Linked DNA regions of Sus scrofa. The protein of the gene in region 2 purifies or fractionates together with the protein of the main gene of each other region. This does not show direct contact. Links are inferred from orthologs where the notes say so. Each region holds a gene or a part of one and is shown on either strand. Other genes may lie near its edges.

What was found. Proteins that work in one complex are often made in the same cells at the same time.
Region 1: the proteins of CHCHD4 (region 2) and SSNA1 purify together in Homo sapiens (co-immunoprecipitation; 3 studies listed by BioGRID and IntAct, with this or other methods). This does not show direct contact. The link is inferred for Sus scrofa from reciprocal best matches to the Homo sapiens genes CHCHD4 and SSNA1.
Region 3: the proteins of CHCHD4 (region 2) and GFER purify together in Homo sapiens (co-immunoprecipitation; 3 studies listed by BioGRID and IntAct, with this or other methods). This does not show direct contact. The link is inferred for Sus scrofa from reciprocal best matches to the Homo sapiens genes CHCHD4 and GFER.

The regions. Positions count from the first base shown.
Region 1 is NW_018084833.1:709,804-714,153, forward strand, and holds SSNA1 (Sjoegren syndrome nuclear autoantigen 1), read right to left. Parts: upstream 2,700-4,350; 5' UTR 2,614-2,699; coding exon 2,562-2,613; intron 2,084-2,561; coding exon 1,884-2,083; intron 1,619-1,883; coding exon 1,511-1,618; 3' UTR 1,082-1,510; downstream 1-1,081. Other genes in the region: ANAPC2 (anaphase-promoting complex subunit 2), read left to right, coding at 2,764-2,868, 3,145-3,767. UniProt on the Homo sapiens protein: Microtubule-binding protein which stabilizes dynamic microtubules by slowing growth and shrinkage at both plus and minus ends and serves as a sensor of microtubule damage, protecting microtubules from the microtubule-severing enzyme SPAST.
Region 2 is NC_010455.5:70,415,417-70,420,374, reverse strand, and holds the start of CHCHD4 (mitochondrial intermembrane space import and assembly protein 40), read right to left. Parts: upstream 3,050-4,958; 5' UTR 2,878-3,049; coding exon 2,856-2,877; intron 1-2,855. Other genes in the region: TMEM43 (transmembrane protein 43), read left to right, coding at 3,387-3,398.
Region 3 is NC_010445.4:39,981,071-39,986,056, reverse strand, and holds GFER (FAD-linked sulfhydryl oxidase ALR), read left to right. Parts: upstream 1-1,605; 5' UTR 1,606-1,744; coding exon 1,745-2,002; intron 2,003-2,367; coding exon 2,368-2,564; intron 2,565-3,418; coding exon 3,419-3,581; 3' UTR 3,582-4,119; downstream 4,120-4,986.

The DNA of each region.
Region 1 (4,350 bases), on a different chromosome or scaffold from region 2:
GGAAAGGGGGAGCGGGGGGCCAGCGGGGCGGCACCGCAGTGAGGCGGCCACCCACACAGGCTGTGATGAAGGCCCAGCGGGGCCTTCTGTGCCAGGGGGAGGTGGCCCTGGCAGTACCTTCAAACGTCAGTCCTCGTGACCCAGGCTCTCCCCACCCCGGCCGGGAGAGGGGCTCCCCTTGTCCCCAGAGGTGGCATAGTGGGGGCTGTGGCGGAGGCAGGGCTCTGGAACTGTGTGCCCAGGGGCTGGGGCTCTGGCAGTTTCCCTGAGGGGACAGGAGCCTGGGGTAGGCAGAGCTCAGAGGGCCTTGGCTTCTGCTTGGACTGGAAGGGTCCCTGCGCCACAGGCAGACCACTCCCCTGGGGCGGGGCCAGCAGGGAAATCGATGGGTTTAGAGAGGTGGCGGATGGAACTGCCCCCAGGGAGCAGGATGGCCGCCCTGGGGAGCCAGGCCACCCCGGTGCAGCAGCCAATGCAGGGCTTTTCCTCCTGGAGAGACACATCTGGGAGACGCCCCGGCCAGGCCTGGGCTGGAGGAAGGCACTTTCCTGGGAGCGGCGGGCCCAGCTTTCTCCAGACTCGGTCAACAACACGTGCTTCCCAACCTCCAACCTCCACCCCACCCCCAAAGGGACAGACAGGTGAAGAGAGAGGGACCCGGAGGGGACTCGGGATGAGAGCTGGGCCCCAGGCAGTGTGACCAGGGAGGGTGGGGCAGTCAGCAGTCAGAGCTGGGCTGCATCCCTGGCCGGGGGACCCGGCCCCAGGAAGAGTGTCTCCCTGCACCAGGCCGAGACCACGGCCCACGGCCAGAGTGCCTTCCCTGAAGCTGGGCTGGGTGCTGGGCTTGGGGAAGGGGTCAGCAGTTCTGAGGGGGAAGGTGGGCGACAAGCGTCTCGGGACATGCTTAGCGGCACCCCTAGCGGTCCCCAAGGCCAGCAAGGCCAGTCACAGGGAAAGTCATGCCAGGCCCTCTCCTCGCCCGCTCACAGAGGAGCCCCACTACAGCTGAGCAGGGGTTTGTGTTCCGGCTTAGGGTGGCCAGCAGCCCCACCCAGGACACAGGCGGCAGGGTGGCGTGTATCTTAACAAAGACAACCTTTATTGACGTTACGGCCCCAGGGTCAGCTCTGAGGTGAAGGAGGGCCCTGGCCCCTTCCCACTTGCCTGGGCACCTGCTGGCCAAGTGATAAGGTGAGGGTGACATGATGCCGAGACTAGAAGCGGGGTCTTCCCTGCAGCCCAGGGGTGTGGGGGGGCCCTCAGAGGCCGAGCAGAACTGACCGACCCAGAACCTGTGTGAGCACAGGGCCAGGACACCCAGCTGGTGGGCTGCAGCGAGGCCTTCCTTGTCACCCAGAGCCAGTGGTGGCTGGCAGCTGCCTCTCGGCACCCAGAACAAGGAGAGAAAGCAGCCGCTGCCGTGAAGAACAAAGAGGCCGTGAAGACTTGCTGGAGGCGAAGCCCTAGGTGGGCGCGGTGGAGGCGGGCCCCTCTGCCGGCGGCCTTGTCAGCTATCCTTGCCTCCACTGCTCTTCTGTTCTGAAGCTGTGGCCTTGGTCAGGTTCCCTGCTTCCCTCTTCAGAACGCTAAGCAGAGTCTGCGAGCTCTCCAGGATCTGGGAGCAGAAACGCCAGTGGTTACACCATCCCCCCTCTGGGAAGCTCCCACAGCCCTTCCCTGCCAGGGCCCTTTTCCTCCTGAGTCTACCCTACGCTCCCTGCAGAGTCGCTCTGGCTCCTGCTGGTCTTAGGGAGTTACGCAGGAAGAAGTACCGTCCAAGCCACGCTAGCAGCTGCTCTGTCACTCCACAGTGGGCCCTCGGCCTGCCTGTCGGTGGGCCCTTCTGGGACTTGTCCCAACATGCAGGCCCCAAGTCCCACCTTGAGGTAGGCGGCCTCTGTCTCCGCGATGGTCCGATCAAACTCGTTACGAGAGGCGATCTTTCGGGCCAGATTCTCGTTGACTCGGGCCAGCTTCTCGGTCAGCTGCCTCACTTCATTCTGCAGCCGCTGCTTCTCATCCTCCTCCTGCTGGATCTGTCGACACAACTCTTCCCGCTTCTGACACAGCTCCTCGATGCCTGGGGTGGGCCGAGAGGGGCAGGGGCTGTGGGCCCAGGGCAGGCAAGAAGGCACCGCCCCCCACCCCCCAACTCTGAAGCCCGCTGCTCGGTAGGAGAGAGAAAGGCAGCGGAGGACCGGCTGCCGGCTGGACCACCTTCCGCCCGAGCCAGGCCAGTGTCTTACGTCCCGGGGGACTCAGGGTTAAAGTAGGCACCGCACCAGAACCCTCGGCGCGGGGCTGGGAGGCCGTGCGTGCTCAAGCCGCTTGTCCTTCGCTCGCTCCACAGATACCAAGCGCCCGGGGCGGGCCCCACACCGGGGCTGTGCGTCGGGCAGGTCCGACGGCGCTGGCGCCGCCCGGACAGGAACAGCCGCTTACGGACTGTACAACACACTCGGCCGCGCGCTGCGAGCCGACCACCGCCCGGGCCCTGCGGGCCGGCGACGCCACGCCCTCCCCGCCAGCCCAGGGAGCCCCGCCGCGCGGCCGCGCACATTTGACCAGCTCGTTGTTGTAGTTCTGCAGCGCCGCGCCCTGCTGGGTCATGGTGGCCGTCCGGGGTCCCGGCCGCTCCAACCGCCGCTACCGCATCCCTGCCGGCGGGCCCGGATTACGTCACCGCCGCGCGCGCGCGCGCCCAGCCCTGCGTCATCTCCCCGCGCCACACGGGGCGGCTCTGGGAGCTGGTGGGCGCAGATGGCGGCGGCGGAGCAGCAGAACGACCCCGGGCCTGCCCAGGAGCTGCTGGTAGCGTGGAATACCGTGAGCACCGGGCTGGTGCCGCCGGCCGCACTGGGACTGGTGAGGCCCGAGAAGAGGGCGGCGGGCCCGCGTGGGGTGCCCAGGACCCTGCGCGGCCTCTCCTCGGGTTTCTACGGGTCCCTGTGCCGCTTTTCTCCAGACTCCCTCCTGGTTCGACAGCCCTTTCCGAGAGTCGGCCGTGCATCCCTGCGACGAAGCGCAGCGGCGTTTCCGTGGGCTCCCCTCCTCTCTGCCTTTCCCGCCTTTGCCTGCCAGTAACCGTCTTCTCCATCTCTGCGTGGTGTTTCCTTCCACTCACAGTTTTCTGTAATCCAGGCATCCTCCCGGACCAGCGGCGCGGTCCCTCCAAAGGAGGAGGAGCTCCGGGCGGCGGTGGAGGTTCTCAGGAGCCACGGACTGCACTCGGTCCTGGAGGAATGGTTCGTAGAGGTGCTCCAGAATGACCTGCAGGCCAGCATCGCCCTCGAGTTCTGGAATACCATCTCCCAGCGCGAGAACTGCGCGGACGAGCCCCAGTGCCTTCTGCTGCTCCTCGATGCTTTCGGTCTGCTGGAGAGCCGCCTGGATCCCTACCTGCGGAGTCTAGAGCTCCTGGAGAAGTGGACTCGCCTGGGCTTGCTCATGGGCACTGGTGCCCAGGGCCTTCGCGAAAAGGTCCACACCACCGTGCGGGGCGTCCTGTTCTTTTCCACCCCCAGACCTTTCCAGGAGATGATCCAGCGTCTCTATGGGCGCTTTTTGAGGGTATACATGCAGAGTAAGAGAAAAGGGGAAGGGGGCACAGATCCTGAACTGGAGGGGGAGTTGGACAGCAGGTACGCCCGTCGCCGGTACTACCGCCTTCTGCAGAGCCCGCTGTGCGCCGGGTGTGGCAGTGACAAGCAACAGTGCTGGTGCCGCCAGGCGCTGGAGCAGTTCCACCACCTCAGCCAAGTCCTGTGAGTACTTGCACCTGCGTTGCCTGTTCCTCCTGGCTCCTGCTTGCTCCTCTGGAGAGAGCTGGCGAGCCGGCTGGGGGCGGTCTCTGTCACCTGTCCTGGAAGTCAGGGACATGGCCACAGGAGGGGCTCCGGGAACATTGTGCTGGGAGTTTATGCCTTTCCACCTGGTCACAGGCGTGTTTGTCACTCACACTAGCTCAGGGTTTCACACGTTGCTTCCGTTAAGACCGACAGGATCCCAAATTTTCTGGGCCCTACAGCGCTCTGCTGTGCCTTCTGTAGCCTGTCGGGGTGGCGGTGGGGGAATGACGTTTATCCTGCCTGTACTCGCGAAAGATGGGCTTGCTGTTCTTCTGTCTTTAAGACAAGTTAGGAGATGAGCCCGACAGGCTGGGCGAACAGGTTGCTTTTGCGGCCTTTGAAAGGAGAGGACTTTGTTGGTGTCACAGCCAGGTCTTGTCGTGTGGACCCTCTGCTCTCAGTGGCCACTTGGGACAGTTTTGTTCCTTTCAGTGAAGGGGCAGCAGTGCAGCTTTAGGCTTTGGGCTGGACCGAGGTGTGGCCCATTACACAGAACCTG
Region 2 (4,958 bases):
AGAAGGACTGACAGAGCATTCAGACACCAAGACACCCCAGTTCTGCAGTTTTACTCTGTGCCTCTGTCCCCGACTCCCATCTTCCTCTCATGCCTCCCTCATCCAATCCTGCTGGCTCTGCCTCCAAGCACATCCAGAAGGACCTGCATCCCTCACCTTCATGACCCCCTCTCCCCACTTCTCCCTCCACTCAGCATCTCCTTGCTTCTACTTGAATGTGCTGAGCACACGCCTACCTCAGGGCCTTTGCACAGGCTGTCTGCCCCCTAGGAACACACTGAGATCCCCTCTCAGCCACCTTCTCCCTGCCTTCATACCTCCTGCTCAGATGCCATCCTCCTTCATCCTTTCCCATCACCATTTACCTGCTTTTTCTCACCTTACAATTACATATTTGTTTACCACCTGTCACCCCCACTGAAATTGAAATGTCTGCTCCATTCATTGCAGCACCTCCAGAGCCTAGAACAGTGCCCAAGACATAGTGGGTAATCGGTATTTGCTGAAGACGTGAATGGAGAAATTGAACTCTGGGTTCGAACATGAAGACCTCCGCCCCAGCAGAGAAAGGTTATCACCATGAAGCAGGTTAGAGAAAAAAACCCTTGGATGGGTGGTCTCATTTTCCCCAGGACACGTGTGGGTCTTTACACATCAGAATCTCTCAGCACATCCAACCCAGGAAGGTTCCCCCCCCAGCCCCCACCACACCATGAGGGCAGATGGCCCACCTATGACCAAAGCCATGCCTCAGTGGCTGGTACTTCACAGGTGCTCAATAAAGTTTAGCTGAACAGAAGCGGGGTCAACATTAGAAGAGAAAGAACAGTGCTACCCATGGCCAGGGAGCTAGTCTGGGTCCACACTGCCCAACACCTTGAACACCCAGCTGAGGCCTTTACTCCAAAGGCTGGGATAGGGGCAGGGCACCCCTGAAGTCAATGTGATTCACTTAGAACAGAGGGAAAGCGTATGCACGGGTTCACTGGGTAAAGGTGCCAGGTGCCAGGGGTATGGCCCATCTAATGCTCTCAGAAGACAGGAAATGCTGCTAGAAGACAGGAAATAAGATGACCAAAACAAATCAGGTAATTTCATAGTTTAGGAAGTGAAAGACACAAAGGGTCAAGAAAGACCTTACTGAGAAGCTGAATCTTAAAGGATGAGGAGGCAGCCGTGGGAAGAGACCTGGAGGAAGGATGCACCCAGGCAAAGGGAACAGCTGAGGCCAGTGTGGCTGGTCAGCAGTGGGTGATTAGAGACCAGCTGGGGACGGATCAGGTGGGGGCTCCATCACACAAGCCCTCAATCAGGCGTTTGGGATCACTTCTCTAAGTCCCATGGGAAACAGAAAGAATTGCTAGGTAGAAAAGAAGTTTTTTAGGATTTAGGGGACCATGGCATGGATAATATTAAAAACTAGGGAAGGCCTAAAAATGAATGCTTTCAGTTCTCACCCCCAATACTAAGAGAGATCTTTGACCCAGGAAAAGATATGACCTACCATTTGGTGGTAGATAAACACCTGCCTTGGACTTCCAGAAATCCTCAGGGACAAGGAGGGTCTGTTTATCTGCATGGCCTCATTAAGCCCACAAGGCTCAAAAAAAAAAATTGCTAAATGATGAAGTAAAGTAGACTCAGAAGGCAATAAAAAACAAGAGACCTACTCTCTAACAAAGCGGTGAGGGCAGAGGACTTTTGCTCAAGGCAGAGTTAAATATCAATCAATTAAAATAGCACTCATTAGAGACATCGTGAGTATTATGACTTTATGACCCAGGGAAGGAGGGTTCTGGAAGCAGAATGGGGTACTGGGGGAAAGGCCTAGCATTTTAGATTGAGCTGTTTTCCTACCTAAGCATGACCTTGGGTAGATCACCTCCATCTCTGGGCTTAAGGGTCCCTCAATGACCTGAGGGAGCTAGACTATTCATTAAAGAATTTCAGGGAGAGTTCCAGCTCTCTCTGGAGCTTTAAAGTCTCAGGTGTTCACCATCACCCTCACCTGGCACTAAAAAGGTGCTTCATGAATATGTGGAGAAGGAAGGAAGGCCTACTTCTCATTTTACAAGACTGAACACTGGGCCTTGGAGGGGCTGGGTGACAGCTCAGGGACAAAGAGCCAGTTAGCGGTTGTGCGCGGAGGCCCTCGAACCCCTGGCCTGGAGACTTCTGGGGTTCCAGGAGAGGTAACAAGGAGAGAGACCATAGACAGAAACCTATTTAGTTTTGTTTTTTTGGGGGGTTGTCTTCCCAACGGAAGGCTCCCTGGAATCCACTGGTCACCAGGCTGGGCAGCTCTGGAATCAGACCGCGGGGGTCCAACCCCAGCTTCCGGACTTGCCGGCATCATGGCATTAGCCTAGTCACCTCTGGGTCGCTGTTTACTCTCGGGAAATGAACAGGGCCTGGCTTAGGGCGCACCAGCGCCTGACCGGTCCCCTCGGGCGGTACTCCACGCCGCAGCACAGAGCACGCCGAGGGCGACTTTCCAGGACTGTTGACGGGCGGCGCAAACCGGAACACGTGGTGTGGGTAAGCGCCATAGTAACAATTAATACCTATAAACTCTCCGTTAGGAGCCAGCGGCAGCGCGCTCGCACTCCTCCGACCCCCAGGCCTAATTTAAGAGCTCTCTCACGTGGTGGTCCCTCAGACGTCCGGGTTCGAGCCTCACGGTGACCTTGGACCGCCTCGCTTCTCCCCGCTGCCCATCTGTAAAGCGGGGATGGAGACCCGACGCAAGGGTCCGAGGACTATCTTCCGCACCAGTGGTGGGGCGCGGGGGCCGCACAATCCGCCTGTTCCCTGCAGGCCCTCGTAGGCCGTCTCTAGGTACCCCGCCCTCCTACCTTCCTGCCGGCAGTAGGCCATAGTGCAGCCCGGCGCTCCAACCTCGCGGTGATCGCGGTGGCTGCCTCACGCCGTGACCTCTCCCCGGCGAGGCGGGCGGCTGGGAGGCCCGTGCGGACCCGCCCCCTCCAGGCCTGCCCTCCGCGCGCCTGCCTCGGAGCTCCTAGCCCGGCCTTCTCAACCGGGAACTACATTTCCCAGCAGGCCGCGCGCCGCCGAGCAACTCCCTAGACAGAAGGAACTGCAATTCCCAGAATGACCTGCAATGCGCAGGTGCACCAGTGAGGTACCGGGTAGGTTGCAACTTCCGGAGAGGGCACCAGACTACGTTTCCCAGGAGGAGGCGCGGCGGGCGAGAGCAGAAAAACCGCGGCTTGCGGGGCGTTGCTCTGTAGCGCATCCTAGGGCTCCGGGCTTCCCGCGCCTTTTGGCCGCCATCTGGCTGTCGAGAGGTGGCGGGATTCCGTGGTGCAGCCGTAAGTCCGTTTTCTTGCTGAGCCGAGTGAGGCGGGCGGTGACCGGATCCTGCCATGGCTGCGAACGTGAGTGTCCCCGGCTTCGCCGGCCACACCCAGGCTGCCTCGTCCACTCTCCCGGCCGCCCGCCGTAGCCCCTTGTGCGGCTAACCGCCTCCGTGCAGCCGGCCCTTCCTCCCTCTCGCTCCCGGGTCCGCTCCTTCCGGCAGGGCAGCCAGGTCGTCCGTACGTGCGGTCAGCACCCGGTGGTCCACGTCCTCCTCGGGGGCGCGTGGTGGTAGAGACGCAACCTCTGGAGGTGTGGCTCTGTCTCCGGGTCCGCTTATGTGCGGCGCCTCCGCGCAGCTCCTTCTTTCCTTCTCGGTTCCCGCCTGCGCCTTTGGGATTCTCACATTTGCGGACTTGAGAGTTGGACGGGACTTCAGACAGGAGTCCCCCATGGGGTGTGTGGGGAGGCAGATATCGCCCTGGTGAAGCTGTCCAGAAACGCACTGTCCTAGCAGGCACTGAGGTCCCCGCTCCAGGGAGTATGTAAACCAAGGCTCTGATGTTGTGCAGAGGGGCAGACTAGTTTGGAGCAGAGGAGTTAGCATGACTGGGAGAGGGAGCATTTCCCTACTGCTGGCCCCTCGTCTTCCTGGCTTTGGCTTGGTTGGAAAGGCCCTGGCTGAGGGCGGTGCCCTTGGAAAGGCAGCTGCTTTTCTCCCTGCTTTTCTGAGGAACCTTTCTATTTAAGCCCCACATTCATTCAACAAACCGAGGGGCACCTGCCAACAGGGTGCTGGGTGTGGGAGAAGCTGGTGACTCATGTTCCTGTCTTCTGCAAAAGTGCCTCTGGTGCCAGCTCGGAGCCCAGCCAGCTGAGGCACTCCCTCCCTCCTGCTTTGGTGGCATGTCCTAACCACTCTCTCTCTTGGCCTTTCACACCCTCTTAACAGGCCCTTCCTCTGTCCCCAAGGTCCTCTCTGCCTTCCACACCCCCTGAGAAGCCAGGGTTTGCCTCACCCACAGCCCCAGCACACTTTGCCTGAGTTTGCATTGTCTGGGAGGCCAAGAAGCCTTTGAAAAAGCACCTAGAAAAGCCTCAGAGGTGGTCCGGGAGACCCAGGGTCTTCCCTCGGCAGAGCGCAGTCAGGAGACCGCCAGCCCCCCCTCCATAATGACCACTTTACAGATAGGGAACTTTCCCAGCAGAGAAAGGCCCTGCCCAGGGTTGCAGAGCCAGCCTGGCAGGCTACATCTTGGGTGAGCGTAGCAGGCTTTGGAGTCGGGCTGACAAGTGGTCTTAATCTCTTGAGGTTTATGTTTCCTCATAGGATCAGTTAACCTGAAATTTAAAGGAAAACCATGCTTAACACACTTAATGCACTATAGGTTCGTACTTAATACATTAAAAAAAAAAAAAAAAAGTAGAGTTTATCCGCACAGTCCTAGTGGACAGAGACCATCTTGGGTATGTTGGTATCCTGACCTTTGTCAAGGAATGTAAATGAATGTGGGTATCCTCTGCTGCCAAGTCTTTGTTGATTCACCCAGCAATGCGGTCCACATTTGGGGGCATCAAGCCATGTGAGGAAGAAGGAAGATGGTGGGGTGGAGCAGGGAGGCAGCAGAATTCTTCTTCAC
Region 3 (4,986 bases), on a different chromosome or scaffold from region 2:
GACCCACTGTGACAGGCCAAAGATTGACCCCAAGTCCTAGGGCTCCCAAGACGCTGCCCATCCTGTCACACCACAGCGGGAGCACCAACAGAGGCCTATTTTTGCAAAGTGCCTTCAGTCTAGCTGTCACACTCTTGCCAGTCTCAGTGGGGGCCACTAGCCTGATAGGGTACAGGGTGGGACAGACCTGTTCCTGGGAAGAGAGAGAAGTTGGAGATGGGCAGTTTGCTCACACCAGGAACCTAAAAGGATGCTAAGCACTGCCCCCCCCCATGCCAACTGACAGCCCCTGCTCCACACCGCCAGCAATCTAGACGCCCTCCACTCCTCTCTCTCTATAACCCTACCCTGACGTCTCACCTGGACAACTGCAGCAGCCCCATCCTCCCCCAAAGCCTGTACTCCTCACTTGCTCCTGTGACATCCACTCCCCAGAGGCAGCTTGGCGACTGAGATCACACCAGAGTACCAGGCCCCAAATGTCCCAGCACATTCCCAGGGTCCTTGGAATAAATTGCCAGCGCCCATGGCCATTGATGAGGTCCCTGCTGGGCCCCTGGCCACCGCTGGATCTCTTCTGCCACCACCCTACCCAGGTCCTGTCCTGCTGGCCTTCCCACCCACACAAGAAGCAAAGATCCTCCTCGGCCTTGATTGCCCTTCTCAGTGATTCCTCATTCTTCAGGCCTCCGCCTAAGCGTCACCTCCTCAAGGAGGCCTCCCGCATTTACCTCGCCCCATTCATGCCCCCGAGCATTTATTAGTGTGACACCTTTTAGATTTTTGTTGTTTCCGTCTTGACCACACTGGATTATGGGTTGGGGAGGTCAGAAACTTTCGAATCTTTCTCCCGGCACCGCCCAGCGCCTAGAGCAGCTCTGAACAGATGAGGCACTACACAAATATTTGCGGAATGAATGAATGCACAGTTGGAAGCACAGGTATCCCTGAGGCCACTCCCGACGTGGGTTTAACCGCTTCAGGCAGGCTACAGGATTCGGGAGCGGGAGGGTCCGCTCCGTGCGCGCAGCCCAAACACGCACCGCCTCCTTTGCCGGCACCGCCTCACCCCGGGTTGCCAGTCACCCGTTGCCATGGCACCCGTCGCCAGGGCGGATCCGCAGGCTCAGCCCCGGCAGCATCGCCTCTGTGCGCTCACGGCCCCGCCCCATGTTGCCACAGCACCAAGCGCCAGCTCCCAGGACGCCCCCAGCCGAGGGCATAGGGCCTAGCAGCGGGCACGCGGGACGGTCAGAGCGGAGCGATGGGGGCATCGCGGGCCACGAAACGGACGTCGCCTCAGCCGCAGCCAGAGGCTACGGCACGGCCGCGCCGCTTCCACAACACGCTGGTCTTCTACTGGAGGAAGCGGGAGCGCCGCCACGGAGGACGCAAGTCGGGCTCGGGCCGCGGAACGAGGCCCAGGGCTGCGGCCAGGACTAGGATCTCCAACCCCGCACACACGCGGGCCCGGGCCGCCGACTCCAGCTCTGCTTCTTCCGGGTCGCGGGCCGCGGCCCCCGGCTCCGCCTCCACGCCGGACACCGGCCCAGGCCCCGCCCCCGACCCCGCCCCCGGCCCCAGCTCAGGCCCCGCGCCCGCGCCCGCGCCCGCGCCCGCGCCCGCGGCCCGGGCTCCCGGCTCCTGCGGCCGCGCCCTGGCGGCGGCGCGCGCCCTGGCCTGGAGACCGACTTGGAAGCCCATCTGGAGACCGAGCTGGCCCGGCAGGCATTGCGCGGGTAACATGGCGGCCCCCGGCGAGCGGGGCCGCTTTGGCGGGAACCTCTTCTCCTTCCTGCCCGGCGGCGCGCGCTCCGAGGTGGTGGATGACCTGGTGACGGACGCGCGCGGCCGGGGCGCCGGGCGGAGAGATGCCGCCGCTTCAGCCGGGATGCCCTCCCAAGCCCCGGCCTCGGATTCTCAGGTCGCCGAGGACGCCTCCCGGAGGCGGCCCTGCCGGGCCTGCGTGGACTTCAAGTCGTGGATGCGGACGCAGCAGAAGGTGCAGATGTCGCGTGGGGTTGGGGAGGCGCCTCCTTCCCGCAGAGGCCCGCGAGCCCTGCCGACTCCTAGCCCCGGCCCGCACACCATGTTGTCAAGCGCCCCGGGCAGAGTTCCCAAGACCCAGGCGGAGCACTCCTCCAGGCCCTAAGACTTTGCCCCCTTCCCCGGGGTTGAGGGGTGGCTGTCCCAAAGCCTAGCCCTTAAGGGAGGCCGGGCCTTTCGGCCCTTAGCCACTTGTTGGCCGGACCAGCCTCCTTAGGACTTAGGACAGACAGTAGGCCTCCGGCTAGGGCAGAAAAAATGGAGCTTTGTAGGTTTCCGGCGGGGGAACGGAGCTAACCCTTGGTCGGCCTCCTTCCACAGCGGGACAGCAAGTTTAGGGAAGATTGTCCTCCAGATCGCGAGGAACTCGGCCGCCACAGCTGGGCTGTACTCCACACCCTGGCTGCTTACTACCCCGACCTGCCCACCCCAGAACAGCAGCAAGATATGGCTCAGTTGGTAAATTTATTTTCCAAGTTTTACCCATGCGAGGAGTGTGCTGAAGACATAAGGAGGAGGTAAGTTGTGTGAGTCCTGGGTACCGCAGCCAGTCCCGCCGGGAGCCTGGGCCTGGCTGATGTCATAAAGGGAAGCCTAGAGAAATAAAGGCAGAGGTGGGAGAGGGTTGCCGAGAGCAGGGGCCAGCAGCAGATGAGGGATCTTGGATCATCTCCTTTCTCCTCGAGGGCCAAGCTGCCTGGGGCTTCTTCCGCCCCAGAACTCTGGGGAGCACTTCCCTCCTGAGATGCCTTGCTTAGCACTGCTGGAGGCTCTGGCAGGTGTGGAGGGCGCCGCTTTGCTACCTGCTGGAGCAGGACTGCCAATTTCAAGACCTTGGGAACTCACTGCTTTTGCTCCCGAGAGCCCCCTTTTCTCCATTGCGGAGCCCAAGAACTGTGGTGTGGCACCCATAGGCTGGGCTGGATTTGAGGGGCAGGGCAGCCCTTGCTGTTTGAAGCCTGGGCAGTTAGAACAAAGTCTCTTACTGAGCTGAGGCAGCAGGGCCGTGGGTGCTAAGAAGCAGATCTGGTGTTCAGTTATGCCTTTGTGCAGGTTCCATCCCTTCTGTACACTGCCTGGGGCCAAGGACGCAAGGGTGTGAGGCTTCCTGATTGTTTTGAGGCCATGAAGTCGAGGTCTGTGCCTTAATGTCTGGCCCAGGGTGCTTCTTTGAGTTTGCTGAGCTCCGCGGGTGAGGGTTTGAGCAGGCCCAGGTGTCTGGCAGGTCTTGCTGCTGCAGGGGCACTCCTGGTGTAGCCTCCCCCCGGCAAAGGTGCCAGCTCTCCTCCCTGAATTGGGCAGGCAAGGAGCTGGGGGGTGGGCACAGTGGGGGCACTGCCTGCCCCCATCCTCCGCGTGCTCCCACACACAGGATATGCCGGAACCAGCCAGACACACGCACCCGGGCACACTTCACCCAGTGGCTGTGCCGCCTGCACAACGAGGTGAACCGCAAGCTGGGCAAGCCGGAGTTTGACTGCTCGCAGGTGGACGAGCGCTGGCGAGACGGATGGAAGGACGGCTCCTGTGACTAGATGCCAGCCAGCCAGAGCATGTGCGCGGCCTGACCAGAGCGTGTGGGGCTCATTATTAAAAGTACATCAGAGCCAGAGCCTGTCTTGTCTCAGTTGGGTGGTCCCCAGACCCTGCCCATGGAGCCCTCTCTCAGGTTCAGAGTAGAAGTGGGGGTGCCCCCGACGGCCTCCCCCTCAACCCAGGCCCGAGGGCGCTGAAGGAGGCCAGGGCAGCCTAGGCTGTCCCTCCCTTTCCAGATTCGGCCTCCTGCTCACCTGACACCTGCTGCCAACTTAGGAAGGTGACCAGCCTGGCAGGGCTCCTCTGTCTTGCCAGGCCAGGCCCCTGTCCCCCACCGTGTAGCTAGGGACAGCTGGCATGGCTGCAGTGTCTTTAGCCCGGGGCCTGTGCGCTGCCAGTACTTCAGGAGAGAGGCCTGGGGGCTGAGCTCTGCTGCACACCTGCCGTGCCGCATGTGGCCTTGCTCAGCTGCACCAGGCCTGTCGAAGGCTTCTGTGGAGCTTGAGACCAAAATAAAATGCTGGAGAAGTGACTGAAGACCTGCCTTCGGTGTGTTTTGTGCTGGCGCTTGCGGTGATGGACGGGCCTGCCCTCGCTGCATGTAGTCTGCTGCCTCCTCCCATCTGAGTTCTGACTCCCGAGGAAGAGGGAGCTGTGCCATCGCAAGACTGGGCCAGGCTGTTCCGCGAACAGCAAGGAGGCCTCCTTTTTTTGTGTGTGTGTGTCTTTTTTTTTGTCTTTTTTTGCTGTTTCTTGGGCCGCTCCCGCGGCATATGGAGGTTCCCAGGCTAGGGGTCAAATCGGAGCTGTAGCCTCCAGCCCATGCCAGAGCCACAGCAACGTGGGATCTGAGCCGAGTCTGCAACCTACACCACAGCTTACGGCAATGCCGGATCGTTAACCCACTGAGCAAGGGCAGGGACCGAACCTGCAACCTCATGGTTCCTAGTTGGATTCGTTAACCACTGCGCCACGACGGGAACTCCAAGGAGGCCTCCTTGCTGGGTCTGGGGGAGGAGCAGAGAGGGGAGCGAGGTCACATGGCGGCAGGTCCTCAAGACCCCAGAAAGGATGTGCTTTTAACACCTAGCTCCCACGGAAGGGTGTGGAGCAGAGGAACGGCAAGAAGTGACTTTTGAAAGGTCTCTCTGGCTGTGGAGCTGGAATGAGGCAGGCGTGGGGGAGAGCAGGGAGGACAGGCACCCATGTGGCGGCCAAGAGTGAAGCTCTGCCCCAGTCACTGGAGGATGGAGTTGCCCAGTGTATCAGTGAGGTGCAGAAGGCTGTGAGCAAAGCAGGTTTGGGGGTGACCTGGACCCAGCTTTTGGGCCGTCCTGGATCCTCTCAGCCACACCTACTCTGCCAGTTGTCAGCTCTCCGCTGGAATGGCCCAACAATAGTGTG